Struthio camelus: one gene and its partners. The protein of the gene in region 3 interacts with the protein of the main gene of each other region in a pairwise test. Links are inferred from orthologs where the notes say so. Each region holds a gene or a part of one and is shown on either strand. Other genes may lie near its edges. The genes, in order: LRRFIP2, SPG21, ATPAF2 and FSBP.

Region 1 (7,486 bases), on a different chromosome or scaffold from region 3:
ACTACTAAGGGTAAATGAGGTAAAAGGAAAGGCTGAATGAAACTCACTCCTTATGCAGTTAGTTACCTAGCTCTTCCAGAAACCATCTAGTTACATTAGCCTGGACAAGAACAGCTGTGAAATTTGCATATCCCCCACAACATACACCCGTGAGTTTAGGATGCATGTTTTTTCCTCTATTTGATAAATATGTTTTATATATGCAAAAACCTTACAAAGGAAGCCTGATAATAGTCCTTCAGAACTCCAATGAGTTCTACCAAAGATTGAAATAAGAAAGACTTTCATGGTTATGCTCAGCATACAGTCCATATGCATTCTGCCTTACAACTATTTCAAATATTCTCTTGAAGAATAAAATTGTTTCCCATCAGCTCATCCAAGTTATCCAACCTTTTGCCTCTCACTTTGAATATAACTGAAAATCAGCACTACTTTGAATAGTGCCAAGTGCTTCAATAGAGCTGGTACTGAATTTTTAAAAGTACTTTTGTCAGTGCCACAGAATTACCGATTCTTTTGCGACATCTATTAATGAAATGAATATATTTTCCAGTAGCTAAAAATATATTTTACTAGTCTAGTAACCGGATTATAAACTGGCTGGTATCTGTTAAATTTAACTCATGGTAGAAATTGTCTGATTGTTATGTTACCCCAGACCTTAAGAAGAGAAGCTTGGATCCTAACAATTTCTGAGTTTAAAAAAAGGTCCATATAAGATCACATGCAATAGGTCACTGCATAAAGGGAAGGCAGTGCACGTTCTCCTCTTTTTTTTTTTTAATCATATAAATGCTGAGACTGAAAAACATTTATTTAACATGTTAGTGGCTGTGCATCTGATGAAAGGAGCATACGTTTATGAGAAATTAAACAGTATTTGTTTTGTTTTGAAGAGCCTAAAAGGGCTTGGCAGAAGCCTCCTGTAAGTATACCCAATAACTGATTTGAAAAATTAAAAAAATAAAAGTAATTGCTCTCTGCCTTACAAAAAGTTGTTGCCCTTTGTTACAGTGCAGCCCACAAAGTTAATTTTCCACTTGTCATAGTGGAGGGTTTTAACATCCTTTTTGTGGGGTGCAGGGAACAAGCAGTTACTAACAGTGCTGGGAATCTCCTAAAGAGATCTGCTGCTGATGGAAAAAAGTGTGTGTTCAGCAGTTCCAACACTTGAGTGATGGTATCTTTACTGAGAAGATGGAAAACTACAGGAAAGGAAAGAGACAAAATGGGGAAGGAGAGAAATAAGTGCACTGAGGTAGGGAGAACTTCTTAAAATGATACATTAATCCAATCTCTCTCGATCAGTGAACCAATCTACCAGTTAAGCAAGCAGTTGGAAGCTATTCTCTGCATAAGAAGGACAAAGAGAAAGTGAGACAGGATTAGGAAGGACACAAAAGGGAAAATACATGGAATCGCATCAGGGATTAAATTAGATTATAATCCTACATGTGTACCATCACAATTGAATTCTTAGCCAGAAGCTATAATTCCATAAACAAGTAAGTAAAGCTTCACGGGAAGGTAAGAAACACCAACAAGAGGGACAAAAATAAGATATTCAAAACTTCACAAATAGTAAACATAACTCGGGAAATTTTTTAGTGAATTCTCTCTTATCAAAGTTATTTCAGTGGGAAAATCTCTTTTAAACTGTATACAAATTATTGCAGCAAGCTGACACCAGTAACTGTTATAATATTTCAAACAACTGAACTACAGATTCATCTTGGATACGCTTTTTTCAGTGATCATCACTCTAAGCAGAATTAAGATTTCACCCACTGTATGCCTCAACTGAGCAAAACAGTTTTAGAGGTGGCCTTCTAGAGAAAAGGGAGAGAGTAAATCAGCAGGTTAAATTGTGAAGATGAATTTACACTAGCCTACCGTATAATATGACAAGAGTGAAGAGAAAATATATTCAAAGGCAGTTCCAGTAGTACTTCATTTACTTTGCAGTAGTTTCAATAAGAATTTGGTCAAGGAAGAGTCATAAATCATTCTTTATATTGTAACTGCAGCCATTTCACAGCAAAAGTTCAAATGTAAATCTCATTTGCTGGCTTCTAATTAAAAGTCTATAATGAAAATTTATTTAACTTGACTGTTTAACTACTCTCATTAATGATGCTGAACTGTGAATTGCTACTGTGACATCTTGTACCACTGCCTGTGGTAACTGCACTGTGTATACACTGTACTGTGCACTGCTTTTCAGAAAAGTAAACAATTGCTCTTTCAAGCCACAAAAATGCATGTCTGCTCTCAAGGAGACATGCTTTTTGCTGCATCATTAAAGAAAAATGTGCTGCCTGTGATATCAGAAGACCAAACGTATGCAAATCCCAACGCTTCATCAGAGAAAAATGTACAAACAATTGAAAATGTTTTTCCCCTTTATTTAGCAATATATTGACAGAGAATCATCCCACACGAACCTGGGAGATCCCACATTTCAGAGGATTCGACACAAACCCTTCACACCAATATCATAAGCTCTCAAGAGGGAACGAAATATTTCTGCTACCAGCTAAAACAAACCAGAATGGCCTGAGACAAGAAGACTTTCTGCATAAACCCCAGCAGATCAGGAGGCGAGTCTTTCTGTAAGAACAAGCCTCAAATAAAAATGCAGTTCTTAAGACCGTACTTTGTTCTTGTCTTTACTGCTAATGTTCCAAGAGAACCTTTTGTGTCTGCAACTTTTTGCTGCAATGAGATCATCATCTATTACTGCAAAAATTAATGTGATGTTAAAATAAGCATGGTGTGGCTATGCTGCATGATCAAGTGAACAAGAAGGCTGAGGCAGTATGGAGTTTCTCAAACAGAAAGTTTTAAAATATTAAAGTCACGGAAGGTGTTTCATGTCTACTGTAAGAGATTTAATTCACTTGCACGTCCTTCTTTGCTTTAGGCTCATCCACTTGCACTTATTTTAGTAAAACAAGATCCGACCTCTGCCAAGGGCTCTTGGGAATATTCTTGATTCCTATGGCTAGGTCTGTCATTTCGGTCGTGCTTTTTCACTTCCATGTGGTTTCTAACATGTGAAATGCCATTTCCTCACTGATCACCTCCAGCTAAGCTCTTCTAGTCACCCTGCACCCAGGAATAGACATGTTGAAAAGTAAATGACTACAGATCTGATCCAAAGTCTGTTACAGCAGATTCTCATGAATGTTAATTAGCTCTTTGTGTTTAAGCTGGAATATATTTTATGGTATAGTTTTTCTCTTTTCCTAAGAGATTATCTTAAGAAAATGTGTTATCTTATCCTCAGGAACTTCTTTGTTGATATATAGAATTTAGTAGCACAGAAAGCCAGTAGTGTTTGGGATGTTATAAGATAAGGTGTAAACGCTTATATGGGATTTCTTCCCATAAATCCTGCCTGGCACCCATCCACGTAAGGCTTCTGACAGCCTCGCGCCGAGCGCCACATAGAAAGAGTGGCAGCAGGGCACCAAACTTCCCGGGCGGTGAAACCCCCGGGGCCGTTGTCGGGGCCCCAGCCGGGGGTGACTCTTGCTGTTCGCCTGTCAGTTTTGCGGAGGGACTTGAGGCTTCTCAGGATCTCCGCGTATTGCTCCCTGGGGAACGTCCCTTGGTACAACAAACCAGAGTTAATTTTAGAAACAAATCAAAAGGGAGGGGGGAAGCCAAAAGCGCCGCCGCGGACCTACCTCTCCCTGCCCCAGCAGTGACTCAGCCGGTCTGCCCGCTGATAAGGAGCCGGGCTGACAGGCGCCCAGGGGCGCGGCTCGGCTCGGCACCTGCCACAAGCCCCTTTGCGGGAAATCCCCGTGCTGCCTGAGCTAAAGAGGCTCCTCAGGGCACCGACACCCCCCCCCCCGGCCTCGCCGCGCAGCCCCAGCCCAACGGCAGCCTCCCCCCCCCCCCCCCGCCGGTGCCGCCACCACCCCACAACGGCCGCCGCCCGCCCGTTCCTGCGCATGCGCACGCGCCTGCCTGCCCGCCCGCCGTGCCGCCCCTTCCTGCCGGCCTGCGAACGCTGCGCTTGCGCAGTGCGCCCCGCCCACCTATGTAAGGGGGCTCGGGGCGTGGGGGGGGGGGCGAATGCACGCGTGCCGGGTGGCCTCGGCGGCGAGGGTCACGCGCCCCTCCCGTAACGGCCGCCTCGCGCCCTCTCCCCGGGGGAACCTTGCGAGCAGTTTGAAATTAACCGCTGTTTCCTACCGCGTTCGCGATGTGGCTGTAACCGCCCGGCATTGAAGGGGAGGAGGCAAGAGAGCGGGGCGGGGAGAGAAGGGCGGCCTGGAGCGGGGCGGCTCGTCTTTGCCCAAAGCCCAGGTTCCTGCCGTTCTCTCACAGGGGGAGGCGGGAGGGTGAAATAAGAAAGCGGCCGCTTTGCCAAGGCCCGCGGACGGTCCGTGCCCGGCAGCACCCCTGCTCGCCCTCGGGCTGCTCCTGCTTTCGTCCCTTGGATCTCGGGTGTAGGGAGTGAGGATAGGAAGGACCCCGAGGCGGTTGCGGGACCCACGAGCCCCTCGACACCCGAGGATAGGGGGTGGAGAGGAGAGCGAAGCAACCGCCCCTCCCTATTAGGCGTTCCGGTGCTGCAGCAGGCTGGCCCTCAGGTAAGGCTCCTTGGGGCCCGCGCACGAAGAGGGAGGGGGCGGGGGGGGGAAGGGTGTCACATGCGTACAAACCCGGACGGGGCGGGGAAGCTGGGTGGGAACCTGGTCCTTCGGGTTTGAGAAGTGGGGAGGACACGGCTCTTCAGCCGGGACTCCCTTGCCAGGTAGGTGAAGAGAAAGGGAAAGAATAAAGGCAGCAGCTTCACGCTCTCTGGCCAGTGTCAAGACTTGGTGTGGATGTAGCGGGGAAAGGCACGGCCGACCGACCGACCGACCCCTTCCGGCGTGCGGTTCCCACACTCCGGGCTCGATCCGTTTTCCCTGCTCCGCAGGCCTGCGGGAAGGTGTCATTGACACACATACACACACGCCCTTCCCGACTGTGTGTGCTCACCTCGAGGTTGAGTGGAAAAGGCAGAATGAGGGAGAGGGAGAGAAAGGAAAGTGTCCCAAAATCACGGCTGCTCGTGTTTCAGTGCCCTTTCTCTTTCATGCCTCCTCAAAGCATATTACCGCTTCTTCAGTGTTTCCGAAAGTGGCAGGGCGTACTCCCTCAGCCAAGGGTTATGGGAAGGTTCAGGCAGGCTTTCTGCTTCTTTTTTAGCTGGGCTTTTTTGGTTTCAAATCACACTTACTCTGTGTGTGTGTGTGTTTTTTTTTTTTTTTCTTAATATGCTCTGCTGTTATAATTGCAAAGAAAATATTGTGATATTATCTGATCTCAAAAGAGATCAGTGCCTTCCTGAGTTTGGAAGAAGCCTGAAAACATAGCTCTGGGCTGTGATCTGCCTCATACATTTGAGGGTTGCCAGTTTAGATCCTAAGATGATACTTTCACCAATAACAAAAACGTGTTACAATGAATCTGTATAACCTATTCAGCGACTCCCTCATTCTGGAGAGACCTCTAACTATCTTAGGCTTGAAATGAGGAAGAAGGTGTATGATCAATTTTATTGCTTCAAAGTGACAATTTTATCTTCCAACATCTTTGGAGATCTTGTGGCCTTTTTTTTTTTTTTTTTTTTTGTAGTTTTCCTGTAAGATCAAATCAATGCTTGTCTTGTGAGTTCTTTAAACTTTCATTGCGTCTTTGCTGGCAACTATTTAAATATATGACCTTTGGGGCCCAGAAATAGATAGCTTTTTAATACATGCCTGCTTCCCTAGTTAATGTAATTGCTTAGTGATGATGTGAGACTAGACGGAAGGTGCTCTAGCAATATGAAATACTATTTGACAGACATGACATGCTGTACCTAATGTTTGTGTTACTTGGGCTTAGAAATGTTTACCTTAGAGTGTGAAGTCAGTTTTACCTGAACTGAGCTGTCTCTACCTGAGAACTTGTGAATATAGGAAAGTTTTGTGAAATGTGTGAGGTGTAAGTTTGTTGCCCTTAAATGTCAGTAACTTTTATGAAATGACTCCAAGGGAAAGAGCTCATTTGCATTGCAACTCTTATTACACAGATGACAGTATTTTAACATATGCAAATTTTAGAAAGCACAGTTTAAATTGGAATCCAAGTCATAGGGCTTTGTGTATGACATGTTACACTTTTATATAGAAAACAAACCAGACTTTCATATAGTTAGTGTGAAAATTGTAGCGCCAATATATCAAATGGAAAAAAAAAAAAAAAACCTCTAGAATAGTGTAACATATATATACCTCCAATAGATAATGCTAGCAGAGAATGAGAAACCAGTACCTAAGAGGTTTGATACTGACTATGTTGTTGGCTGTATTTGTAAAATCCTGGTGTGAAGTGGTGTGGTGATACTTACAGGGCTGTACAGTTCAGTAGTATGTGCTAGTGAGAGAGAGCTTTCTGAGAAAATAATCAGGTTTATTATCTTGACTTATCTGGATACTAAGTAACGTGTAATTGTACACAATGGACAGATGGTTTGTTTATGTACTCTTACATATCCTACAAAGTTTTTAATGTATCGTGCAAAATGTTTTATGTAAATATTACTGTGTGGTTTTGAAGGTGATAAAATTCATTATTATTATTTTTATTGTGTAGTCATGTATCATTAGAGCTACTGCAAAAGGAGAGGTGAAGGAGCACCACCCATAGAGGCCAAATGGGAACAAATATTTCTAAGCCTACTGGCTGCTATCTCAGTAGAGAGTTAGAGTTATGTCAGTTGATGAAGCAGCAGCAGGTGGAAAAAGCTCTAAGGGATACCCAGGCAAAATTGCCCTGCTTGATGCTGTAGTGTTTCTTCACTGTACTGAACTGTAGCAATAGTAAAAAAAAAAGGGTGTAGGCGTTTTCTAAATAGGAAATTGTTAATGGAAAAATATCTTAAATAGTTGCAACTTGTTACTGAATGTGGGCTGTTACCATGGGGCTCTTTGTTTGTTTAATTCATTAAAAAAACAGAGCCTCAATATAGTAGCAGTATGTTTTTTTTAATGAGTAATAGATCTTTCTTTTGCAAAATGACACAAGGATACTCATTTTGAAAAAGCTGACAGTGTAAAAATGCTGTCTGCTTCATTTTAGAATAAACACTTAAACAGGATTCTTCTGACTTTGTTTTTTATTATGCATTCCCACCACTGGTGCTGATTATTAATGTTGCCATTTCCTCATATTTTAAAATCACAGTTGATTTCTTAGTCTGTTTCTGGAACTTCAGCACTACAGGAGCACTGATTACAGAAACGTCCAGCTGTGCTATACCACTTCTCTGAAACCTACATATGCTTCACGTTGTGCCCTGAGCTATCCTTTGTGAATGGCCATTATGAGAGCTTTACAGATATTTCTCATCTCTGGTGATTATATCCTGTACCTAACACTTTATCATAATGTGAAGTAATAGTATCTGCAAGTGCAGCTGTTGGCAACTGACTGA
Region 2 (7,537 bases), on a different chromosome or scaffold from region 3:
TTCAGCAACAGAATTCAACTTTGAATAATCAAATTTCAGTTATTCAAAAATAAGTGCATGTAATCACCTTAATGTTTACCACATTAACAATTGCTTGGATAATCTACAAATGACCCAGAAGTATCCCTTGTCTTCTAACTTCAGGCAGTTCAGAGTTCCATTGCATCACAAACAAACCACATCCCATTCATGAAGCTGGTCCTCAGAACACAATAGCCTCTAGCACATATTTGAAAAGTAAAAAAGACAGACTTTCAAAGTGTCTCCTCATTATACAAACATTTTCATAGAAGTGTCTCGGAGACCGTGGACCACATATGCAGATTTGGATTTTTCATTTGGCATATGCTGACCTTTTATAGACAGACAGATTAATTTAATACAATCTTAATTTTGTTGAAATAGCTTAACTCCAACATGAAAAAAATTCATTGGGGAACTGAATGATCCTTTCCTCCTTTTGCAACAACTTGTAAGGTTATATTTCATGACTAGGCATGACACAAACCAACCTTTATCATTTTCATGCCCATGATTTCAGAATCTTTCAACACAAAGAAATAAACATCTGGAATCCAGATCTTAAATTTCTCTTCTGCTTAAACTAGGCAATTCCTCTACATATCTGGTAATAATTCTGTGACTGTTATCAATGGGAAAAGCTATATAGCAACATCATAACCTTAACCCTAATTCACGTTTTCTACTCTATTAAAAAAAAAAAAATTCTCTCTTTTTTTTTTTGTTAACAGAAGATGAAAATGTTTTCTAAAATAAAATGCAATCTATATGAATGGAAAATGAAGTACAGTCCATTTGCTCTGAGAAAGCTATAAAATGACCAGAACTAACTCCTCATAACATTGATTTAACTCAATTCATCATTTATTAAGCACCATCAATTTTAACATATTTTCAAATTAATGTTTTTTATCATAACCCTACATTAATAAAACGTATATGCAACTTTGTTATCCAAATAATCTGAAGGCTAAGCAGACAATTCTCCAAAGAGCTAAGCCAATGCTCTGTAAAACATTTGTAAAAATAATAAAAAAAATTTTTTAATAACTTAACTGAAACTCTTTTGAATTACAATTAAGACTTGGAATCTTAAAGAAAAGAGGGAGACTTAAAGTTCCTCTTAATTATACTGTATTATATTACTATAATGCAAGAATAGAAAAATATAGGGAAAAAAAGCATTAAGGGCCAGCCTAATTTTACAGGGAAAACTTCTGTAGACCTCCACAAACTTACAACCAAGAACACTGAATCAAATGAAATTTGTTTTATCAAAATATATGCTACCTAAGATATTTGAAATTAAAGGTGATTTTAAGATATTCTTAGCACTAAAAATACAATTTATTAAAATTATAATAGCGTTATTTATGTCTGTAAAACACTGAAGGAGGACTAAAGATCTGCTGCGTGTCACTGCAACACAGAAAAACACCTCACGCTCCACGGGACAAAACTATGAAAATATATACAAATTGCTAAATACCCTCAGTTAAATAGAAAAATATTGGTTCACTTTCACAAGCAGAATAGGGATTAGTTACAGCAACAGAAGAGAGTTTAAGTCAGTTGTGTCCTTTTGACTGAATATGCACAGAGAACTCTGAAAATCAAGAGTGCTAAGTGTACCTTTCAGTAGAGAATAAACTGGGCTGAGCGTTTATCACCTAACAGCTATTAATAAAACAAAACAAGAAACCCCTCCAAAACACACACAAAACCAAAAGACCCCCTCCTCCCTCGACGACCAAAAAACCTAGCTGCATACAACTCTCCTGCAATAGCTTCTCACCCCAGAGAACTGCCTAGGGAGAAAGGCCCAAATACCAATGCAGAGACTGGTCAAACATTTTACCACCAAACACCGCAAAAGGACTAAAGATCATCAGTTTTAAATCAGAGTGCCATTGTGACACAGAAAAGACACATTAAACTATACTGAATAAACTATGAAGCAATACACAAAGTGTCAAGCGCTGAGCTGATACGTGCCACATTTCCTGCTATGCCAATCTACGACCAGAGACATCGCAGCTGTGGGACTGCAGCTTCGGTGTTAGCAGCAGATGTTGCCCAATCAGCACCATTACACCCACTGCGAGCCTGGTAGGAGCCTACTGTTGAAAGAACAATTTGAGCATGATAACTTTCTTTAAAAAACACATGCTCCTCTTTCTCTCACGATGGTCTTAGTTGGTCGGCCATTAGGGTATAATGTTAAACTTACCTTGCCAGTCACACTGAATTGTGAAGGCTGTAAATAGGCTAAACATAACAGTAACATAATTTTTTTCCTATCAGCTTGACGCACAGGGACAAGACTTTCCATGTTTAGCCCATCTACAGGTCTGAATGATATTTTTGACAAAACGTCACTGTACAATTAAATAATGAAATAGGAATAAAGTTATCACAACTACTTACTTCCATAAACACAAACAAGCATAGAAACAAATTGTCAAAAACAATCAACATTCCAGTCCAACGCCTAGCGATTTCCACAGATACTCTGATAAACATTCAAACATGTAACAACTGGCTGGCACAGCAATACTCTCAGATATACCACTGACGGTTAGGTCTTTTTTTGTTTTATTTTTTAATGGAAAGCAAATTTTTCCCAAACACAAACAAATGAAAACAGTAAATCTAAAGAGCGAGCACCAAACATATGAATATTGACAGCAGCAACAGCACCTCTCTGGGGTGTTCAGAGGAGCAGGTTATGAAATAGTTGGAGACTCCTTTACACTTTATTATTTTTTAGTTCACAGATGAATACCATAAGAAATACCAACTTTTGGGTCAAGTCCTCAAATATTTTTAAAGAGCCTACCACCTAAGGTACTCACAGGGAGACTGACAACAAAAGTCTCATCTCTGTCCCAGAAAACACCCTATCTAGTAGGCCAATCCATACACCCTGCATACTCTCAAGTTTGTACTAACTACAGTCAACCTCAGAGTAATACCAAACTTAACTACCTGGCACAGCAGATACAGTGACAACCACCAAAATAAGATTTTAAAAAACTTTCATAGAAAGTTGATGCATAAATAATTTTACTATTCTATACCTGCGTTTTAGTCTCATTTGCCCTTTTACGTGCCAGTTTTGACAAAAGAAAAATATTGATTGTTATCTTTATAAAAATAACAATTCTGAAGCAAATCCAGAACGTTATCTGTTTTAAAGTTTATTGTTTCAGTGGGTTTGCACGAGGCCAGGCAGGCTGGAGTTGGAAGTACTGGCTTAACCCTGTCAGCACGGGTCATGCTGGAGATGTGGCTGCGAACACAACTGCAATGAGTTAACTTACCTCACGAAGTTAAAGAGTCTTCTCTGACTCATTCAGCTATGGCTGAGAGTATCATTTTTCAAAAAAAAAAAAAGAAATGCTGGAAATGTGGCAGCAGCAGAGATTTTCAGCACAGTCTGAGGACTGTTTGCCTTTCAGTCAAAGCAGCATAGAGTATCTCGCACTTAAGACGGACAAGAACATCCCGAAAAGACGCAAAACCAAGAAAAAGTAACATTCCCCCTCCACTGCAGCCTCCAGTAACTATTTTGCCCCGCGCCACTTTCTTAATAACTCGGAAAACAGTTATGTTTCGCTAGCTGAGCACGAGCCCTCACGAGGAACACCCCAAGCTGCAAGAAGCACAGGATTTGTACCAGTCGGTTAATAAAGCGCATTTAAAGGCACAAGCAGCATTGCGCAATCAGCGCTGCAAATCGCCCCCTTTCCGCGAAACCCTCTTTTCGCCACCCCGGCGAACGCCAGCGGGGTAAAGGCGTCCAAGCCGCGGGACCCCCACCTTCGCCACCCGCGGCTGGGAAAATAAAACAAACGCAAGCAGGAGGGGAGGGCGGCGGGGGCCCTCACGGCGGCCCGGCCCGGCGCTGGGGGGAGCGGCGGCCGCAGGCCCCGCGGCGGTGACAGCGACGCGGCCTCCCCTCAGGGAGGCGGCGGGAAGGCGACACCCCCCCTCCTCCCCCTCCCCCGGCCCAACGGCCGCCAGGCCCGCGCGGAGGGCGGTTACCTCTGCGCGCGGAGGGCAGCGTGGAGCCCAGGAGGCGCGCGGCCGCGGCGCAGCTGTGGCAGGCGGACATGGCGCGGCGGCGGCGGCGGCGGCAACGGGCCCGGCCCGGCCCGCTCCCCCCCCCGCCCCCCCCCGCACCGCGCCTGGCGCCGCCGACTAGGCCTCGGTAGCGGCGGCGGCACTGCGCGCGCGCGCGCGCCCCCGCCGTAAACACCCCCTCCCCTGCCCTCCTCCTCCACCGCCCGGCACCGCCTACACTGACGCCAGGGCCGGGCTGGCTTCACCGCGCCCCTCCCATCCCTTCGCCGACTACCGCTCCCAGCAGGCAGCGCGCGCGGCGCCTCGCCCGCCACCGCCCCAGCCGCCGCGCGCTGCCTCCTGGGAGATGCAGTCCCGCGGGTCAGGGAGCTCTGAGCATGCGCCGGCAAAGTGCATCACGGGAAGTGTAGTCCAGGCGTGCGGCCGCGGGGCGCGGCGGCGGCCTCGCCTCCCGCACACAAACGTCAGGAGATTCCTGCCTCTAACTCCAAAATTCCAGATTTTCTTCCCAGCAGCTGTGACGTGCGTTCGTTTCTACGCAGCGTTATTCCCATATCTGTATAGCCTCGGACTCCCCCGTAGGAGGACATAAAGGCCACGCTCCAGGCCGCGTTATCCTTAATTCCTAAAGCGCTCGTAGACCGGTACGGCTCATCAGGAGAACAAAAATTAATCGGAGACCTCAGCAAGCCCCCGCACTCGCTGCGCAGCTCTCGCCCTGCGTTGCTCCAGGGAAACGTTCAAAGCGAAGGCCGACTCCTCCGCACGTGCAACTCCCGAGGCAGGATTTGGGAGACGCAAAGCCCGGTGAAAACCCGCCCGGCGGGGACTGAACACGCGTCTGCTGGGAGGAGGGGAACTTCTCAAACGTGAAACATTTATTATCTGCTTCCAGATTTTAAACACAAGGTAGTATGCGGGAAACACTTCCCATCGACCTCCAAAATAATAAAAACAGCCTTTCACAAGCAGCAAACTTGAAACAGCAACGGAAAACACGAGGCAAATTAGAACAACTTTGGCAGAAAGATGAAAACGAAGCCTCCTGTCCTGGGGTGATCTCCAGTCAGATCAGCGATCACAAAAACGCGTAGAAGCCAAGCAACGAAAACGCATCCTTTAGACAACGCGCCTGCCGCTGGCAGGGACCTGTGGGTGTTTCTGTCTTTCCGCCCTCCTTCAGCTTTCATCTGCCACACACTGATCAAGTGCAGCTCATTGATCCCAGCTGCCTTTCTGAGTAACAGCTCAGAGATGAGAATGCATTACCTGATGGTCTCGCCTACAAACCTGAGCTGCCGCACAGCGAACGCCATTAGACCACGCTAACAGCGGAGATTACACTCTGTACTGCTTGCCTGCGTGTAACAGTATGAATATCGAATGCCATTTTTCATTTCTGCCAAGGTCTGGATGGATTTTAATCCTTGCGAAGTACAGGTTTAACAGCACCACCTGCAGCCAGCACCACCTACTGCCAGGCAACCGCCAACCCCACTTTAATCTGTATTCAATCCACCACCGATTCCTTTCGGGAACTTTTTTTTTTTTTTTGGAGAGAATCAGAGAGGAATAGCAGATTGGAAGGACGTACTGAAAGGCATCGATAAAAGTTATTTATCCTGCAATCACAAATTACGAAAGCCTGGAGAGAGCAACAGCGTCGTCTTGGACAGGGGTTTGCGTGCTGCTGTGAACCAAGGTTTGTCACCGGCTGCCTCGTGCGTTCGGGTGGCCGACAGCAGCAGGCTGGTTATCTCAGTCAGCCCCGGAGCTTCCTCTCAAACGGGAACGGCGTGCTGAAAACAAACCGGTAAAACGCTGCTGATGAAACAGGAGTCGAACTGACGATTTCCTCAGCTTTAGCTGCAGGAGCCTCTTTGCCGCGAGCGGCAGGCAGCGCGGTCGCGCCACCTGACGCAACCGCACGCAACTCCCTTCCACCGATTATTTGAACCCGACGTCTTTTGGCCAAACGGCAACGCCGAAGGTAAAGCGCCCCCTCCCACGGCAGGCGTGAGAGCTGGTCCCCTGGACGTTTTCCCCCTTTTACCTAAAAAAAAAAAAAACAACAAAAAAAATCTTTTTTTCACCCAGGGTCGCCCTGGCTTCAGCCGCAGCTGCCTCCACGGGGTTGCTCCCCGCCAGGGCCCCGAGGGCTCACCGAGGGTCACGGCCCCGTCTCGGCCATAACCTTGAATTTAGCTGTTCCAAAACACGTTTTGTTTGAACGGGCCCAGCCGACCCAAAGGTCCGGGTTTTGCATTGGAGGAACGAGCACCCCGTTAACAACCGCACCAGGGAGCTGGGTAAAACAGGCTCGGTTAAAGTAAGACCCTGAGTTGAAAACAGACCTTTTCACTCACTGGTACTTTTACTTAAATCAATGGGATTTCTCACATATATTTAAAAAAATAAGTCAAATTAAATTAAATCGCCTCCACTGGATGGCAGCAACCCTTGGCACGTAGCCCTCTGCCAAGCAGGGCGGAGCGGCACAACGGCGGGGCCGGGGCGGGGGAGCGGACGCGGCGGCTCCCTCGACGGCCATGGCGGCTTCCCCCACCGGCCCCCCGCAGGAGGGATCACGTGACCCTCCCTTCTGCCTCGATAACAATGGCGCCTCGGCCCGCTTCTTCCGCCTCGGCAGCTATGGCAGCTGGCCGTCTTCCGCCCCGCCCTTGCGCCTCCCCGCCGTCACGTGGCGCGTGACGCCGCACCCGGAAGTAGCGGCGGGCGCCGCCGCTGGGGTGCGCCGGGGGAGGCGGAGCGGGAGAGCCAGGCCCCGGCACCCCCCCCCCCCCTCCCCGCCGGTACCGGGGGTCCCGCGGAGCCGGTAAGGGCGCAGCGGGCCGTGAAGGTGGGGGCTCGTCGTCGCGGGAGCCAGGCTGTCCCTCTCTTCGGAGCCTCCCTGCTCGGGGCTGAGTGGGCTGTGAGGGACCGGGGGGGGCTCGAGGTGGTGTCGGGGGGGCTGAGGGAGCTCTGGGGGGGGGAGTGTGGGGCTGAGGGGGGCTCGAAGGGCTGAGAGGGGCTCGGGGGGGGTGTGGGGCTGAGGGGGGGGGTCCCTAAGGTGCTGAGAGGGGCTCCGGGAAGGGGCTGAGGGGGGTCCCTAAGGGGCTGTGGGGGACTCTTGGGGGGGGGAGTGGGGCTGAGAGGGGCTCCCCAAGGGGCTGAGGGGGACTCTTGGGGGGGGGGAGTGGGGCTGAGGGGGGCTCCCCAAGGGGCTGAGGGGGACTCTTGGGGGGGGGGAGTGGGGCTGAGGGGGGCTCCCCAAGGGGCTGAGGGGCGGGTCCCTGGGGGGCTGAGGGGGGATCCGAGTGGGCTGTCGGGCTTAGGGGGGGGTCTCTGAGGGGGGCTCTGGGGTGGGCTGTTGGGTCGAGGGGGGCTCTGGGGGGGGTTCCTGAGGGGCTGGAGGGGCTCCAGGAGGGCT
Region 3 (7,070 bases):
TCTTCATCGGCATCCCACTTGCGCGTTAGGAAAGGGTGCTTTTTACTGATTATTTCCCCTTCAAAGAAAGTGGTGAGGGTTGGGTACTCCTAGGAAAGTGGAGAGACAGAAGAGAGAGTTAAGATGTCACCTAAACTCACACAGATAAAGGTGCACAGACTGAGCAAAAAATCAGCATCTCGCAGCAAGACCTTGAGGCAATCTGAGGCTGGTACACCTTTTAAAATCTGACTCGTACACGCACACCCTCCACCCTTTTACTCCAGTCGTCTTTTCACACGCCCCCCACCCCCTTCACTTCATAAAATTAGAGGGAGCCATGTTAGAGCTGGACAGCTGGGAAACTCGTCTGGACGATCAGAAGTGACCATTTGGAGGTAGCACTGCTCCTGAGCTGAAACATGACAGCTAGCCGTGTGTTTGCTACAAACACAAAGTACAAAGGCTAGATTAAGCCACCTCAAAGAGGAAGAGAAGGTGCCCCGAGTAAGCTCTTTAGCTTTGCATTTGCAATGAATTAGGGGTTTGCACACAGGAATACCAGGCTCAGTTGAGGGAAGCTAACTTCTCCAAGCACTTACCGGTAACTGTCTGTGCAGACACATAGTGCACTGCAGCTGAGAGAGTCTGGACTTGGAAAGACAGTCAGTATGAGAACCCGCATAAGATAATGCTCACAATGTCCAACACCATAAGGAGATCTTAGTGGATGGGCATGGAAGGAAGGACTTAAAGATCTGACTTGTTTGTTTTATTTTCTTTTAGCAACACACCACCACTGGTAGAGTATCTAAAGCTGACTTCAAGGTCAGATTCCTGTTCCACTCAGAGCTCAAGAGACACCAGATAAGCCTCCTGCATTCTCTCAGGACTCCCAGCGAGGCCCCTGATACTAGCTTTACACTCCAAGAACAACAGATTGAAGCTATTAGACTACCTAGTGGTCAAATTTACCGTATACTTGATCCCTCCATCCTCTATTTCTGGTGGCAACTTCTCCCCCTACCAGGAAAAAGGAAAGCCTTTAAACAACACCTTTTCTTATGGTTTTGCAATAAACACTCACCTCTGTAAGGCCTTTAATCTTCAAGTATCCACAGAGATAGGAGTTTTCCATATCCACATGCTAGAAGAGAGTGCAAAGTCCTAACATAAGCATGTGCATGAAGGCACCCAATGGATCCAAAACAGTTTCTAAACCTGTGGTCCTCCAACACTCAATTCTGCTTAAACTGGTACTGACTGTCCAGCTTACTGCACAATGTTCACACTGACATCCCCTTTCCCAAGGCTGGAAACAACTTGGACAGATCCTTTTAGAAGTGCCCAGCTCACTTCTGACAGCCTCCACGTCCCAGGCCTGACGACACCTCACCCACTTTCAGCTTCTTCAAACTGAGGCAGCATCTTCTGTCTGGAGGTCTCCAGAGGGAGTAAATCCCCCTTCTCTACCAAGAAGGAACTTGACTCCCAGTTTTCTCAAAGGGAGAGAGTATCACTGGCAGAATCTCTAACACACCCAGCCCTCACCTACCCCAGCCAAACCAGCAACCAAGAGGGGGAAGGGCAAAAAGCATATTTTTACCCAAGACAATTCAGGCTAGAGGAAGAAAGCATCACCCTGAACTTTCCAGTCCACCTATTTAACAGGCCTGAGCCACCTCCTCTCTAACACGCTAGTCTGTACGCTCAGCCTAGTACCCAGGACTGGTGTGCCCCGTCACACACCAAAGCCTGTTCAAAACAGATGTCTCGTGTGTTTTGAAGAGGCCCTTCTCCCAGATCTAACGCTTTCATGTCACCCTTCTTTGAGTTACTTGGCTGCATCTTGCCTCTTCTGCTATGCAGAAACTAGGTAGGGGGCTGCTTCTATTCTGAATGCCTTTAAAGTAAGAAGACTTTCCAAGTTTTTCCCCCCCAACATCTCCAGATGAGTTTTCAAAGCAAGAACTGAGCTATTTTGGGAAGTGTATACATCAGCTATAAGAAGATGGATCTTCCCCACCTGTGATCAAAGAGAAGCAACATTTTCCTGTACTCAGCAGGGGAAGAGCAGATAGCCACCTCTTCTCAGCTGACACGCGCAAAACAGTAGCAATTTTAGCACAAAGCTATAGCCAGTCTCTGGAACAAGGCAGCGTGCAGTGAAGCTGATCAGCCATGGGATGTCTCTACAAGAGCAAGCTGCACCAGGGACACTTGTGCTGTTGACAAGCGGGGGACCATATGTGAAAAGAGACAGTATGGATAAAATGCTACCCCATCTGTTGACCTTGGGACTCTCACGTTACTCCACAACACTGACCCATGCATCAGTCTTTATCACTGCACTTGTTACAAGCTGCCAGGGTCCCACAGATCCTATGCCACCAAGTTGGGAACAAAGCCGTGACCTGCAGAGCACTTTATAGGAAAGCGTGCACCATATGTCTGGCTTGCCTATTTATTAGTAACCCCACACCTCGCCAGCTCTACCTTAAGCAATCATACCAATGTCTAGGACTAAAATTAAAGCACAGGAGGAGACCAAGACCGCAAAAAGGAAAGGGAAAGCTATACCAGCCAGTGCCCTGATTCCCCAGCACACCTGGGTCCAGGCACGTTCCCACTAGAAACAAACCACTGTGCTTTGCCTCAGGCTCCCTGCTCAGCCTGGGATCCTGGGGAAGCATAGGGCACCACAAGGAGGGATCCTTGGGATCTCAGGTCCAGCAGAGCCCTGCTCTGCTAGCCAGGACCTGGATCCCTACTGCTTTCCAGCCAGGCCTGAAATACAGGCTGCCTCGCTGGTATTGACTCCTTGGGACACCACCCACTTTAAGCCAGCCTTTTGCCTATCCTCCCTGGGGCCCAGGGGAGCAGGGCCAGCCCAGGGCTTGAGGGCAATGGGGGAGACATCCAGGATCACAGACCTCAGCAGAGCTGAGGGCAATAGGGCAAGGGAGTGAAGCGAACAGACCCAAGGAAAATGAGGCCACAGTGGTGGGAGGTGGAGCAGAAGAAACAGGCCTGAGGGTAACAGGGCAAAAAGGGGGAGGGGGGGAAGAAACAGGCCTGAGGGTAACAGGGCCAAAGAGGGGGAGGGGAGAAGAAACAGGCCCTGAGGGTAACAGGGCCAAAGAGGGGGAGGGAGAAGAAACAGGCCCTGAGGGTAACAGGGCAAAAAGGGGGAGGGGGGGAAGAAACAGGCCTGAGGGTAACAGGGCCAAAGAGGGGGGGAGAGAGGAGAAACAGGCCTGAGGGTAATGGGACAAAAGGGGGGAGGCGAGGGGAGCCCGAGCTGAGCGCAACGGGGCAAAGCAGGAGGCCAGGCCTGAGGGTAGCGGCCCCTCGCCGGGGCCCGAGGGGGAAGGGAGCAGGGAGGCGGCCCCGGGCCGGAGGGACGGGGTCCCCCGGCGGTTGGGGGCCGCTCGCAGGCCCGGCCAGGCCCGGGGCAGGGGAAGGGAGGCCGGCCGGCCCCTCACCTGCATGACCACCTCCACCTCGTAGGCGTTACCCTTGCTGCGCTGCTGCCCGCGGAACTTGGCGCCGCTGTAGAGCAGCGAGGTGGCCACGCCGGGCTGCGCCGTGTTGATGGGGGGCGGCGGCACCAGGCTGCTGGCGGCCGCCCCGGACGACGGCGACGAGGCCGAACCCGCCGCCGCCGCCGCTGCCCCGCCCGCGCGGCACCGCTCGCTCCGCACCGGCATCTCGGGCGGGTCCCCGGGCGCCAGCGTGGCCGGGGCTGCGCGCGGCCGGGGGCGCCGGCCCGGTCGCCCCCCCCCCTCCTCCCGCCCGCCCCTCACGCTGCGCCGCCGCCGCCGAGGCCGCCGCTCCTGCCTGGCTCAGGGCCTCCCGGCAGCGCCTCCGCGCGCTCCCATTGGCCCTCGCGGGTGCTGCGGGAGGGGCGGCGCCGAGCCGCTATTGGCCGCCGGCGCGGGGCACGTGCCCCTCTCCCAGCAGGCGCGGCCGCGGGCGCTCCTGGGAAGTGTAGTTTTCCTCCCTCCCTCCGCCGTCTCCCCGCAGGACGGGGCGGCCGAAGGGGCAAAACGCGTTCGCGGTGCGGATTGGCTCCCGCGGCGGGCAGCATGGCGGCGCCCGCGGAGCCGCGCTGAGGCGGACGGTGGCGACAGCGGCGGCGACTGCTCCGCGGTTCCCGGCGAGCGCCGCACGGCCGTTGAGTGCCTCCCGCCTCCTCTCGCCGCGATGTGGCGCGGCTGCCGGCGGCTGCTGCCCGGGCGCTGCTCGCCGGCCCGGCGCCCCGGCCCGCCTCCTGCCGCCGGTGGGGCTGCGGTGGGGCCGGGCGGGGGCCGGGCCTACGCCCCGCCGGCAGGTGAGGGCGGACGGGCCCCTCGGGGGCTTCGGGGCTCCCTCTTGGGGGGTCTGGCGGGCCCCTCTGTTTGGGAGAGCCCGTTCCCTCCTCCGCTGCGGGGGGGAGGGGGTCCTCCCGATGGGACCCCCTTCCCCCCCCCTCCCCGGGCCCTGGAGGGCGACTTCCCTCAAGGTCACCCCGGAGCCCTCGCCAGCAGGACGAGTCAAACAGATGGAAAGCGATAAAACTCTCCGCGAGGAGGCTAACGAGCGTTCAAGCACACCCCTCGCCGGGTCTGGGGCTCCTTAAGCCTTTTTAGGTGCTGAGGTGACAGGGCCCCACACGCCGGGCCTCCCCCTGCTCCTATGCCCTGGCTTCAGCAGGGCTGTCACTGACAGCAGGGCTAAGCCCTTGGTGTATTGGTTTGTTATGGTTGCTATTGTGGTTTTGGTGGGTGTTAAGACTTTGTTGGGGGGGGGGGGGGAGCACTCCAGGTGTGGTTCAGGCACACATTGGGCTGTGAGTCACCTCTGCAGGTCTTGCTGGAAAGGTGTAGATATGAGGACGGTAACATTAGTTTTGTTGCCTATGAGAGGAGGCTGCAGGTTTTCAGGACATATATCCTGGGGCTCTTTGGCATCTCAGTGAAATGTCTTCTCTTCGGTACGTGTATGTGAATCTTTTCAAAACTGTGCCCTAATAATTTGGCATTTTTTGAGGCCATGAAACTAGAGTTGGGTCAGCCTGAGCAGATCCTCTTCTGTTTCACTGGTGCTCTGTAGAGGTGTGGGAACGTGCTCGTATGGAGTGGCACAGAAAACAGACCTGCAGCTCAACCTGTTTGCATTACTGTTCAGGAGGTATAGATTTAGGGATTCAGGATTTATGGTCCTGTTGCTCTTGTCCGGGGAATGGTTTGCAGATTCTTCCTGCTTTGAGTGAGAGATGAACCTGTGAAACATCCATTCCCATGCAGTCCAGGCTCTCAGATGTCTGCTGGGAGTGTACGCAACAGTATTGCTACGAAAGGAGGCTGCTTGTAAAACAGTTGTAATTCCCTCAGATTCACCTTGCTGGTAGAGCAGGCTTTCTCCTGAGCAGAGCAGGAGCTGCCAGCGTGGGATGCGTAGGCTGGAGGGAGCCGAGGGAGTGGTTCCTCCCCTGGTGACTCATTTGTATGCTGCAATGTGCATGATGTCCCCAGCATGATCCAGCTGCTATGACATTGCAGGCTACTCTCCTGCAGGATGTCATCCAAGGTGAGAGATGGGGACTGCTGATTGCATGTAGCTCCTGTAACAAACCCACTCCTGTGGGTGACCGTGGTAGAGGGAGCTGTGCCAAAACCCCCGGTGGGGTGCAGTATCTTGCCCCATGCTCTCTGAGCGTGCTGGGAGCTGTAGTTTTTGCTGATGCAGACAGCCGCATCCCTCCATGTGGTGCATCAGCTGCAGGTGGCGGGTCAAAGCAGAGAATGAGCTAAATTCACTGCAGGAGATTGCGTGGGCTGGAACTGTGTGGGTTTGGAGTTGGCAGGGGTGGCAAGGGACACTGCTGGGGCCTGCCCTGCCTTGTGATTCAGTTCTGCTGGGTTTCTTGTCACTCTGAATTGGAACAAGCTGGGAGAGGGAGTTAGCCAAGGCAGTCCAGGAAATTAATTTGTCAAACATGATTGTAATCAGGGAATTTTGAAAGACTGAGCCCAGAGTGAAACTCCATATGGACTGGGGAGGAATGACAAGATAGGTCCGCTTTAGAAACCTCCCCTGCCAGACTCTGTAGAAACCTGCTGAGGGTGAGTTGGAATGGAGCTGAGATCCCAGCCCTGGGTGGCAGAAGCAAAGAAAAGCTGGGCCCATTCACTTGCTGGTTGTGCACAGCAACACTCCCACCGGTTTCATGATGCTTCCCCAGTGGAGAGGAGCTCACTGAAATGATGTGGTGCTTGGAAGCTGTCTGCAAAAAACACTTCAGAGTGCAGTCTATGGCAGTGCCATATTTTTCTCCCTCCCTCCTTCCCCCAACAAAACTCTTGAGGCCAGGACTTCTCCCCCCCTCCCCCCACCATGTGCAGAACTAGACTGGGGAGAGGCTCTTTTGCCTGGGCACAGGCAGTGGCTAGGGGGTTGCCTGGTCCTCTTCTGGCGAGAGGCTCCCTGCAGGCCCCCAGGCTCAGGGTGTGGATGAACGAGCGAGACCTTGTGACAAGAGGCCAGGCCATCTGGGCCTCGACACCACCGAGGGCTCCATCTGTTTTAAGCTGTAGTGGGAATCAGGGGAGGGGACTGAACTTTGCTCTGACTGCCCTTTGAATGGCTCTTGTTTTTGCCCCCAGAAAGGAAGCGGTTTTACCAGAACGTTAGCATCTCGCAAGGAGAAGGTAAGCGTGGCCACTGGGAGAGGAAGGAAGGACTGGGAGGAGGTGTTGGTCCCTGGGGAGGGGGTTATCACTGCTTCCTTAGCAAGACAGTGGCACACCTGCAACCCGTGTCATATGAGTGGGATATTTGTCACCAGCCTGCTTTGTCCTTTCCTCATTTCTAGCTAAACCATGTGGCTGGATTCCAGCTCTGAATCTGCTCCCTCTGTGGGGTTGTCTGTTGTTCCTTAGGGCATGCTCCTCTTTAATTCCCCAGGATTTCTACTCTGATTCTCCAGGAGGCTTTGAAATAAACCTGGACCACCGGAAGCTGAAAACGCCCCAGGCGAAGCTCTTCACTGTTCCCAGCGAGGCCTTGGCTATTGCAGTGGCAACAGAGTGGGACTCCCAGAAGGACAC
Region 4 (6,975 bases), on a different chromosome or scaffold from region 3:
TTAGTGAATTTCGCTCTGAAGGTATGAAAGAAAAATGAGCTGTGCCTTGTTCATAGGACTGAAGCAGGAGGTATAGAAGGCAAAATGAAGTGATGTGTAAGAGTGTAGGTACAAGTATTTTCTTCAGCAGTGATGAGAATTTCCTCCCCATCAGCTATGGGTTGCTGTTCCCTCGGTGATGTCAGTACAAGTGTAAGTGTATGTAGGGCTGTATTATAAAACATATCCCTAAAATCATCCAGATTGAAAAAGCTTCTTTGGATGCTATATGTATTTCTTTTGTGCTGGTTCTTTGTCCTGTGGCATACTGGATCGGGGGACTGATGCTGCTTAAAACTCACCCGGCTTAGAAAAACGATTAATTTGCAGACAAATCAGTTCCCTGGTCTGACTTGCTCGGAAGCTTTTAAAGTGCTAATATCAGCACGGTGAAGGGAGCAGGAACGTGTCAGAGAAGGGTGGTAGGAGAGGACTGCCTGGTTTGGCAGTGTGTTGGTGGAAGGTATAGGAGGGACTGTGGCAACAGTTTTGGTTTGTGGGTTTTGTTTTGTAGTTTTCTTGGAATTACACCTATTGTTTTGGCTGAAAGAAGTCTTAAATGTTCATTAAAATCCAGGCTTTTCACCTTCTGTGATTTCTCATCCAAGTACTGACATGACCTTAGGCTGATGAGCAGTGATTTTTAAGAGCAAAAAGAAAAAATCTTGGTTGGCAGCCAGCTTCATTTTTACGAGGGTTATTTTACACTCCTGCGGAACAATAGTAATTCAAACTCTGATTCCTTCAGGCACTTGCTCAGAACAAATCATTGTAGTGGCATATTGCTAAAATTGCATTAGTGTGGAAACTTGGTCTCTCTAGCAACATTAAGCAGTAAGGTGATAAAATAACACAACTTCAGGTAGGTGTATATTAGGAGTTCCTGCACCTGGTAGCCCAATAGAGACAACGTGGCTACAGTTCCATGTTGCCAGGTCCAGCCTGCAGCAAGGATGAGAATATGTTCCCAATAGGCACACATACGCACGATACATATATACATATACACATGGCTGGCCCAATAGACTAACACAGAAACCACAGCACTCCCGCAAACACAAACAGCACCAGGGCCTCATCCTTTCCTCTCTATGGCTGATCAGGATGAAAGCCTGTTTGTGGAAAATTATATATATGCTATGGATTCCTCCAGCAACTGCTGTTAGACACTTATTCTACACAGTAGCTGGCCCCTGGATCCCCTGGTCTCCTGGTTGCCTCACGCACAGATACAAACCTGTAATGGGTCTTTCTGGTAACTGGTCCAGACTTATGACCTTACCAGCAGGCAACCTCCAGGCCTCACAGTCTCTCTAGTAACTGGCTTGGATGTCCTGGTCCCTACAGTAGCCAACTGTCAGACCCCTCTGGTCTCTGGACGTACGTCCTGATGGACGTACGTCCATCAGGCTGTATAAGGTGATCCGGAGAGCTTCTCCCAGTGACTCCTCTTGCTGGGCTTCATCCCAGTCCATGGGGCCTATGGTGTTTCTGCGACAGCCCAGGCAGCAGCTGGGGCAGGGGCCTCTGCTCCTTTGGTTGGGGTTGGTGAGGTTCCCAGCCTGTCACCGCCTGTTTGGCGGTGCTGCTTTGTGGTTGCGCAGAGGAGCCTTTCCTCACACAGCTTGAGATTAACTTTTTTTCCATCACTAAAATGTCAAGAGATTGGGTACTGCACAACTGCTTAAACATCAGAGGGTGCAGTGTAAACTTTTTTGTGACTCCTTAGTTCTGATACTGCCAACAGGTTAAAATGTGAGGCATATTCTAATTTTCTGTTGCAGCTGCTGAAGAACGCGTCAATTTTTAAAATGATTGTTAGGAAAAAAAAAAAGCCTATTCTACCCTTAATGTTAGTAAAGAGAGAAGTGTGTGGGGATAAAGGGAGGGCAGGGTGATTAAATGCAGTGGTTTTCATAAAGTGCTTCTAACCACATGTCGTGGATGGAGTGGGGAGTGAGGCACTTCACTTGGTACAGAGAAGCAACAATGTTTTATTGATTTAACAGAGTACAATTGTGAATAAGATAGCGACTTAACAAGGGTCAAATGGCAAGGTTCACTAAAGTTATTTACTGCGTGGAGGACAGGGTCAGGCGACAGTGTCAAGGAGACCCTCCCGTTGAGTCGTGAGGTTCAGAATGGACCCAAGGGATCCAGTCCTAGTCCCAGACTTGGTCAGCAGTTTATATCTAAGGTTTATGTGCATGGGCAATCAGAGATACGACTTAGCAAGGTCCGCAAAGCAAGCGGCAAGGAGGCCTTCCCGTTGAGTCATGAGGTTCAGAATGGACCCTCCAGATGGATCCAATCCTAGTCCCAGACTTGGTCAACGGTTTATATCTAAGGATTATATACACAGCAAAATTTGCCAAGTAGATGTCAGGGAGACCAAGACTTAGTCTAAGCTTTGTGCTTAAGGTTTGTGTGTACAATCAATCAGAGAGGTAACTTAACAAAGTTTCAAAGTTTTAGCATGCTATCAGTGTCACTTACAGAGGATCTATTGCTGGTAAGGAATCTCTGGACCTCAAGGAGTAACCTTGAGAGGCGTCCCTGCTCAAGAGGAGGTTCTGCAGTGCAGCCCACTGCCACGCAGGAGAGCTCAATGGGCTCTGGACCACCCCCTCTCTATGGGGGTAAGATGATTGACTCATTGTCATATTTGCATTCTAAATGGTGCTCAGTTAGCCCCTGTCCAGGTGCTGTTTATGAGGAGGTGATGTTTAGGCTGAGGGGGGAGAACAGCACATGGGCGGTGGAGGGGAGAAGCGTGCTGTCACACCACATGAGTATTTTGTTTCTTCAGTTCTATTGAAATGGACTTCAGACTATAACATGCTTTATTTAATCTCGACTTGAAAGCAATTCCAGCAAAGCAGACTGGGCAAATTTTGTTAGGTGGTATGGACAAGCCAAGTTTCAGAAATTGTTTAAAGCATGCTGGTATTCTAAATGGGAATTGACTTTAGCAGTTAAAGTCTCCCTTTGTTTAGTTGAATTTCTTGGTTTGAATATGACTTGTGTCTGCTTTGGGTTTGTTCCCCTTTGAGCAAACAAGTTCATACCTAGATCTTTATTGCCTTAAGATATTTCAAACTATAATTAGATTTCTCTTTTGTGTGACCCCTCCCCCCCTCCTCCCCCCCCACCCCCGCCCCAGGCTCCCTTGGTTTCAAGGCTGAACATGTTAAGCTTGAGAAGCCATCGCCACTATCTCAAATTGTGTTTGTTTGCACCCTCTGGACTCTTTCAATGATGTACATAATTTTTCAGACTTAGTTTTTGCTTTGTGTATTTGTGAGCACCTTTTCTTATCTCTGCAAGTTCTTCTGTTTCTGAGATTTGTTGATTTAGTTTAGACCACGGGTATTTAAAGCCTTGTATGCCTTTCTGTGTTAAAACTCGGCTTAAGGTGATGTATTTTTGAGCAAACATTAGAAATGCATGAACATAGCGTGCACATCTTGTTACTAAAAATCAGATTTTATCTGGAAGGAATGCCTGGAAGTGTTATCATAAAAGTAGATTGTTTCCTGGTGGATATTATGAAAATCCCAGTATCCACACACTATAATGCACTCCATAAATCTGTCATGACTGAATGTAACCTTTATTACATGTAGCCCGAGAGTTAGCTCATGCCATTTCTCAGTCACTGCGGCCTGACTGGCGATGACACATGCATTAAAAGGCAGGCGTGTTATAGCAGGGCACAGCTGCAGGCTGAAGTTACAATAAAAAGCTGATTCAGTGCTCGTGCTGTGGTGTTTGGGGGGTTTTTGTTTGCTTTTTTTTTTTTTTTTTTTTTTTTTTTTGCTTTAGCCAAACGCTTGGCCGTGAGTAGAAGCTGCCTCTTTAAGAAGCCTCTGTGTAGGTAGCGGGAGCAGGCTGCGAAATGGAGGAGAAGCTTAGCTTTGCTGCGAAGCCCGAGCCCGAGTGTAACCTAACTAGCTAGAGGATATGCGCTGCCTGATTGACAGCAGGACCAGCATTATGCAAATGCTGTAAGCGAGCAGCAGCGAGGGAGCCGCGACCAGGGGCTCTGTTAGGGATCTCTCTACGCACGCCATGCTTATCGCCCTGTAGTTTTTCCTTCCTCCTCCTGCTCGGTTAGGAGTCTACACGTTTTCCCCAAACAATTGTGGCAGTTTTTGGCCATCGGTACAGGCAGAATCCCGAGTGCAGTTTCGGTTCGAGATATGTGTGAGGGAGCTGGAGATATGTGTCAGAGCTTGTTACTCAAGCTAAATTAGGTAATTTTTAGCTGGGTAATGTGCTAATCTTTAAACCTTTATGTTTTTAAATCCTATGTATGTCTGGGCTCTTCATACAAAAGTGTATTTTGCTTGTTTCTTCTCGTCGTCTTCAGTCTGAAGCCTTATGTAGGTCAGGCTTGGCTTAAGCAGATTTCCTGAACCTGCGTCAGCTTAAGCTGAAGGAATTTTAATAAACCCTCCCTTGTAGGCGTGGGCCTAAATGAGACTAGCCTAGTTAAGCCTGATCTTTTTCTGTTTGTGAAAAAGAGCTGAGCAGAGCTAGGGACTGCATGGTGGCTTCAGGAACTGCTTCCTTAATTCAAAGATAACAATGGTTGGGAAGGCCAGATCTTCTAATTTTACCTTATCTGAAAAGCTTGATTTGCTAAAACTCGTGAAGCCGTATGTTCAAATTCTTGAAGAGCATACCAATAAGCATTCCGTAATAGTGGAAAAAAACAAATGCTGGGATATCATAGCTGATAACTACAATGCCATCGGAGTAGATCGCCCTCCTCGCACTGCACAGGGCCTGCGCACGCTGTACAAGAGGCTCAAAGAATATGCCAAACAGGAGCTATTGCAGCAAAAGGAGACTTATTCAGACTATAAAAGCAGCATTTCCGAGCCAACCAAGAAAGTTGTGGAGATGATTCCACAGATTTCCAATGTGTGTTTAAGAGAAAGGAGCATTTCACAAAGGTGAGATAATTTTTTTTTTTTTTTTTTTTTTTGCTGAATGAAAATTATGGCGCCTCCTACCTACTCTGTAAGGCTTTTCTTAACTTGTGTTCAGTGTCCTAAAGAAAAGGCTTACAAGAGAACACCCCAAAATTGGGAGCAATGACAAAATAGTATTTCTTTTGTTTTTATGGTAAGCTTTATGGTGACTTAGCACTGCATTCATTTTTCAGCTCTGGTTCAAAGCCTGTTTCAGAGTCTTTGTCATACTCTGGAAAGTGAGGGTTAAGAGGGAATCAAAGAGAAATAGTAGCTCTACCCCTCCCCTACCTTTTAATAGGCAGATTATTCAAACACTGGCAAAGTGGTGGCTATTCTCCTCCATTTAAGGTAATACTGCAGTCATTTTGCAGCATATGGAACAATTACTAGTTTATATAAGATGTTTAATAAAGTTAGTTCATAGAATTAAGAAGCCTTGTTCCTATACCTTTTTTATCTCATTTACTGTGATGTTTGCATATTATATTTTAACTGATCCTAATCCTTAAAGAAAAAATTGAATCCCTACACCACAGTGTCTTTGTGAGTGCAAATGTATTTTTAAATTATACTTTTCTTGCACTGACGGTCATTCTCTGAAACTGGAGCAAAGCTAATTGCAGTCTAAACTCCAAGTACTTCTGTATTGTGTATTAGATAGCTTAAATAAAGAGAGAAACTGAGAGGTACAGCAGCAGAAGTTTCCTTTTTTTTGTAGGTTTTTTTTTTTTTTTAACTGCTCAGTAAAGTGAGACACACTGTCTAGATTTGAGCCAGACATAATACAAGCAGGCAGCATGCAGGCTTTCTCACACAGCTGGCTAATGCCCCTCAGCTCTGACTTGCAACACTCTGCTGGTTCTGTATGGGTCCTGGAGGGATCAAAAAATGCCTGGGTCAGGTTTTGGTTCCACCAGATGCAAAAACTAAGATGGGGAGGAGGGAGGGAAATTCAAACCACCTCACAGCAATCTTGAGAAAGCTCTGATTTTTTTATTATTTTCACTAGCAGATTAATGGAAGTGAACTTGCCGTATTTTAATCAGATATACTGATAGCTGGTGCAACAGCTAAGCACTCTTAAGAGAAGCTGGCATGCGCATGCAGGATGAATTTGATTCATGGTGCCACTGGTTGAACTGAATGCTAACAATTGTCTAAATCCCAATGTGCCAGATGCTCTAAAAATATGCTGTTGTGGGTCCTGGCGTAAAGAAGGCTGAGGCAACTGGGCTGTGCTGCTGGTGAATGCCCTTGGAGGAGCAGCTCCAAAGGAGACTCTGGAACAAAACAGGGCTTTTAATTGCGCTAATAAAGGTTGCAGTGTCTTGGCTACCAACTTTTTTGTAAGGAAGAGGGAAGAGGAGGGGGGAAAAAAAAAAAGTTGTATGAGAACTTAGGTTTGTAGATAGGCTCATGAAAAGCAGTGACGCTTTTTATGAATGGTTGAGAGCTAATGATCTCCATAGTTTGTCTCCTATAATTTAAACATTTTTTGCAGTCCGTTGTGGCTCTAGGAGCATTGACTTGATTACTGCTCACCCAAAGTGTTTTTTCCTAGGATCAACCAATACAGTATGTGCTGAAGAAATGGAATATCATTTAAATATTTTGTTTTCTGCCCAAATATATCATTACTTTTATAGTTTTAATCTTAACTCTGAGTTACATTTTCCCCTGATTTTGAGCAGTATATTAGACTTTAACTCACTAAAGCATGGCTTAGGTTTTTGGAGGGAAGTACGACTTATGAATCCAAATTCTTCATCGCACCTTTAAGTGATTTCTGGCTTACTGTGATTAAATGAAACCTAGTGAATCATGGGTGTCTCTGGGGTTATAAATACCATCCCCCAATTGTGGTAACTGTTGTTTGTCTGTCTTTCAGTCAAGCTGTCAGAAACAACATTTGTAACCACCATACAGGAGTTTCTTTTGTTTCTCAATTCCTTCT

What was found.
Region 1: the proteins of ATPAF2 (region 3) and LRRFIP2 interact in binary tests that used the Homo sapiens proteins (3 or more experiments, as listed by UniProt). The two-hybrid records come from large-scale screens. The link is inferred for Struthio camelus from reciprocal best matches to the Homo sapiens genes ATPAF2 and LRRFIP2.
Region 2: the proteins of ATPAF2 (region 3) and SPG21 interact in binary tests that used the Homo sapiens proteins (3 or more experiments, as listed by UniProt). The two-hybrid records come from large-scale screens. The link is inferred for Struthio camelus from reciprocal best matches to the Homo sapiens genes ATPAF2 and SPG21.
Region 4: the proteins of ATPAF2 (region 3) and FSBP interact in binary tests that used the Homo sapiens proteins (3 or more experiments, as listed by UniProt). The two-hybrid records come from large-scale screens. The link is inferred for Struthio camelus from reciprocal best matches to the Homo sapiens genes ATPAF2 and FSBP.

What each region holds. Positions count from the first base shown.
Region 1 is NC_090943.1:54,265,138-54,272,623, reverse strand, and holds the start of LRRFIP2 (leucine-rich repeat flightless-interacting protein 2), read left to right. Parts: upstream 1-4,472; 5' UTR 4,473-4,610; intron 4,611-7,486. UniProt on the Homo sapiens protein: May function as activator of the canonical Wnt signaling pathway, in association with DVL3, upstream of CTNNB1/beta-catenin.
Region 2 is NC_090953.1:4,122,597-4,130,133, forward strand, and holds the start of SPG21 (maspardin), read left to right. Parts: upstream 1-4,518; 5' UTR 4,519-6,097; intron 6,098-6,813; exon of another isoform or gene 6,814-6,994; intron 6,995-7,537. Other genes in the region: CLPX (ATP-dependent Clp protease ATP-binding subunit clpX-like, mitochondrial), read right to left, coding at 4,069-4,138. UniProt on the Homo sapiens protein: May play a role as a negative regulatory factor in CD4-dependent T-cell activation.
Region 3 is NC_090956.1:3,742,138-3,749,207, forward strand, and holds the start of ATPAF2 (ATP synthase mitochondrial F1 complex assembly factor 2), read left to right. Parts: upstream 1-4,069; 5' UTR 4,070-4,185; coding exon 4,186-4,312; exon of another isoform or gene 4,313-5,510; coding exon of another isoform or gene 5,511-5,550; exon of another isoform or gene 5,551-6,626; coding exon 6,627-6,671; intron 6,672-6,902; exon of another isoform or gene 6,903-6,927; coding exon of another isoform or gene 6,928-6,949; coding exon 6,950-7,070. Other genes in the region: GID4 (glucose-induced degradation protein 4 homolog), read right to left, coding at 1-89, 1,067-1,126, 3,465-3,689. UniProt on the Homo sapiens protein: Plays a role in the assembly of the F1 component of the mitochondrial ATP synthase (ATPase).
Region 4 is NC_090943.1:149,104,692-149,111,666, forward strand, and holds the start of FSBP (fibrinogen silencer-binding protein), read left to right. Parts: upstream 1-3,970; 5' UTR 3,971-4,629; coding exon 4,630-5,000; intron 5,001-6,975. UniProt on the Homo sapiens protein: Transcriptional repressor that down-regulates the expression of the fibrinogen gamma chain. Represses transcription of GSK3B gene promoter via its interaction with APBA1.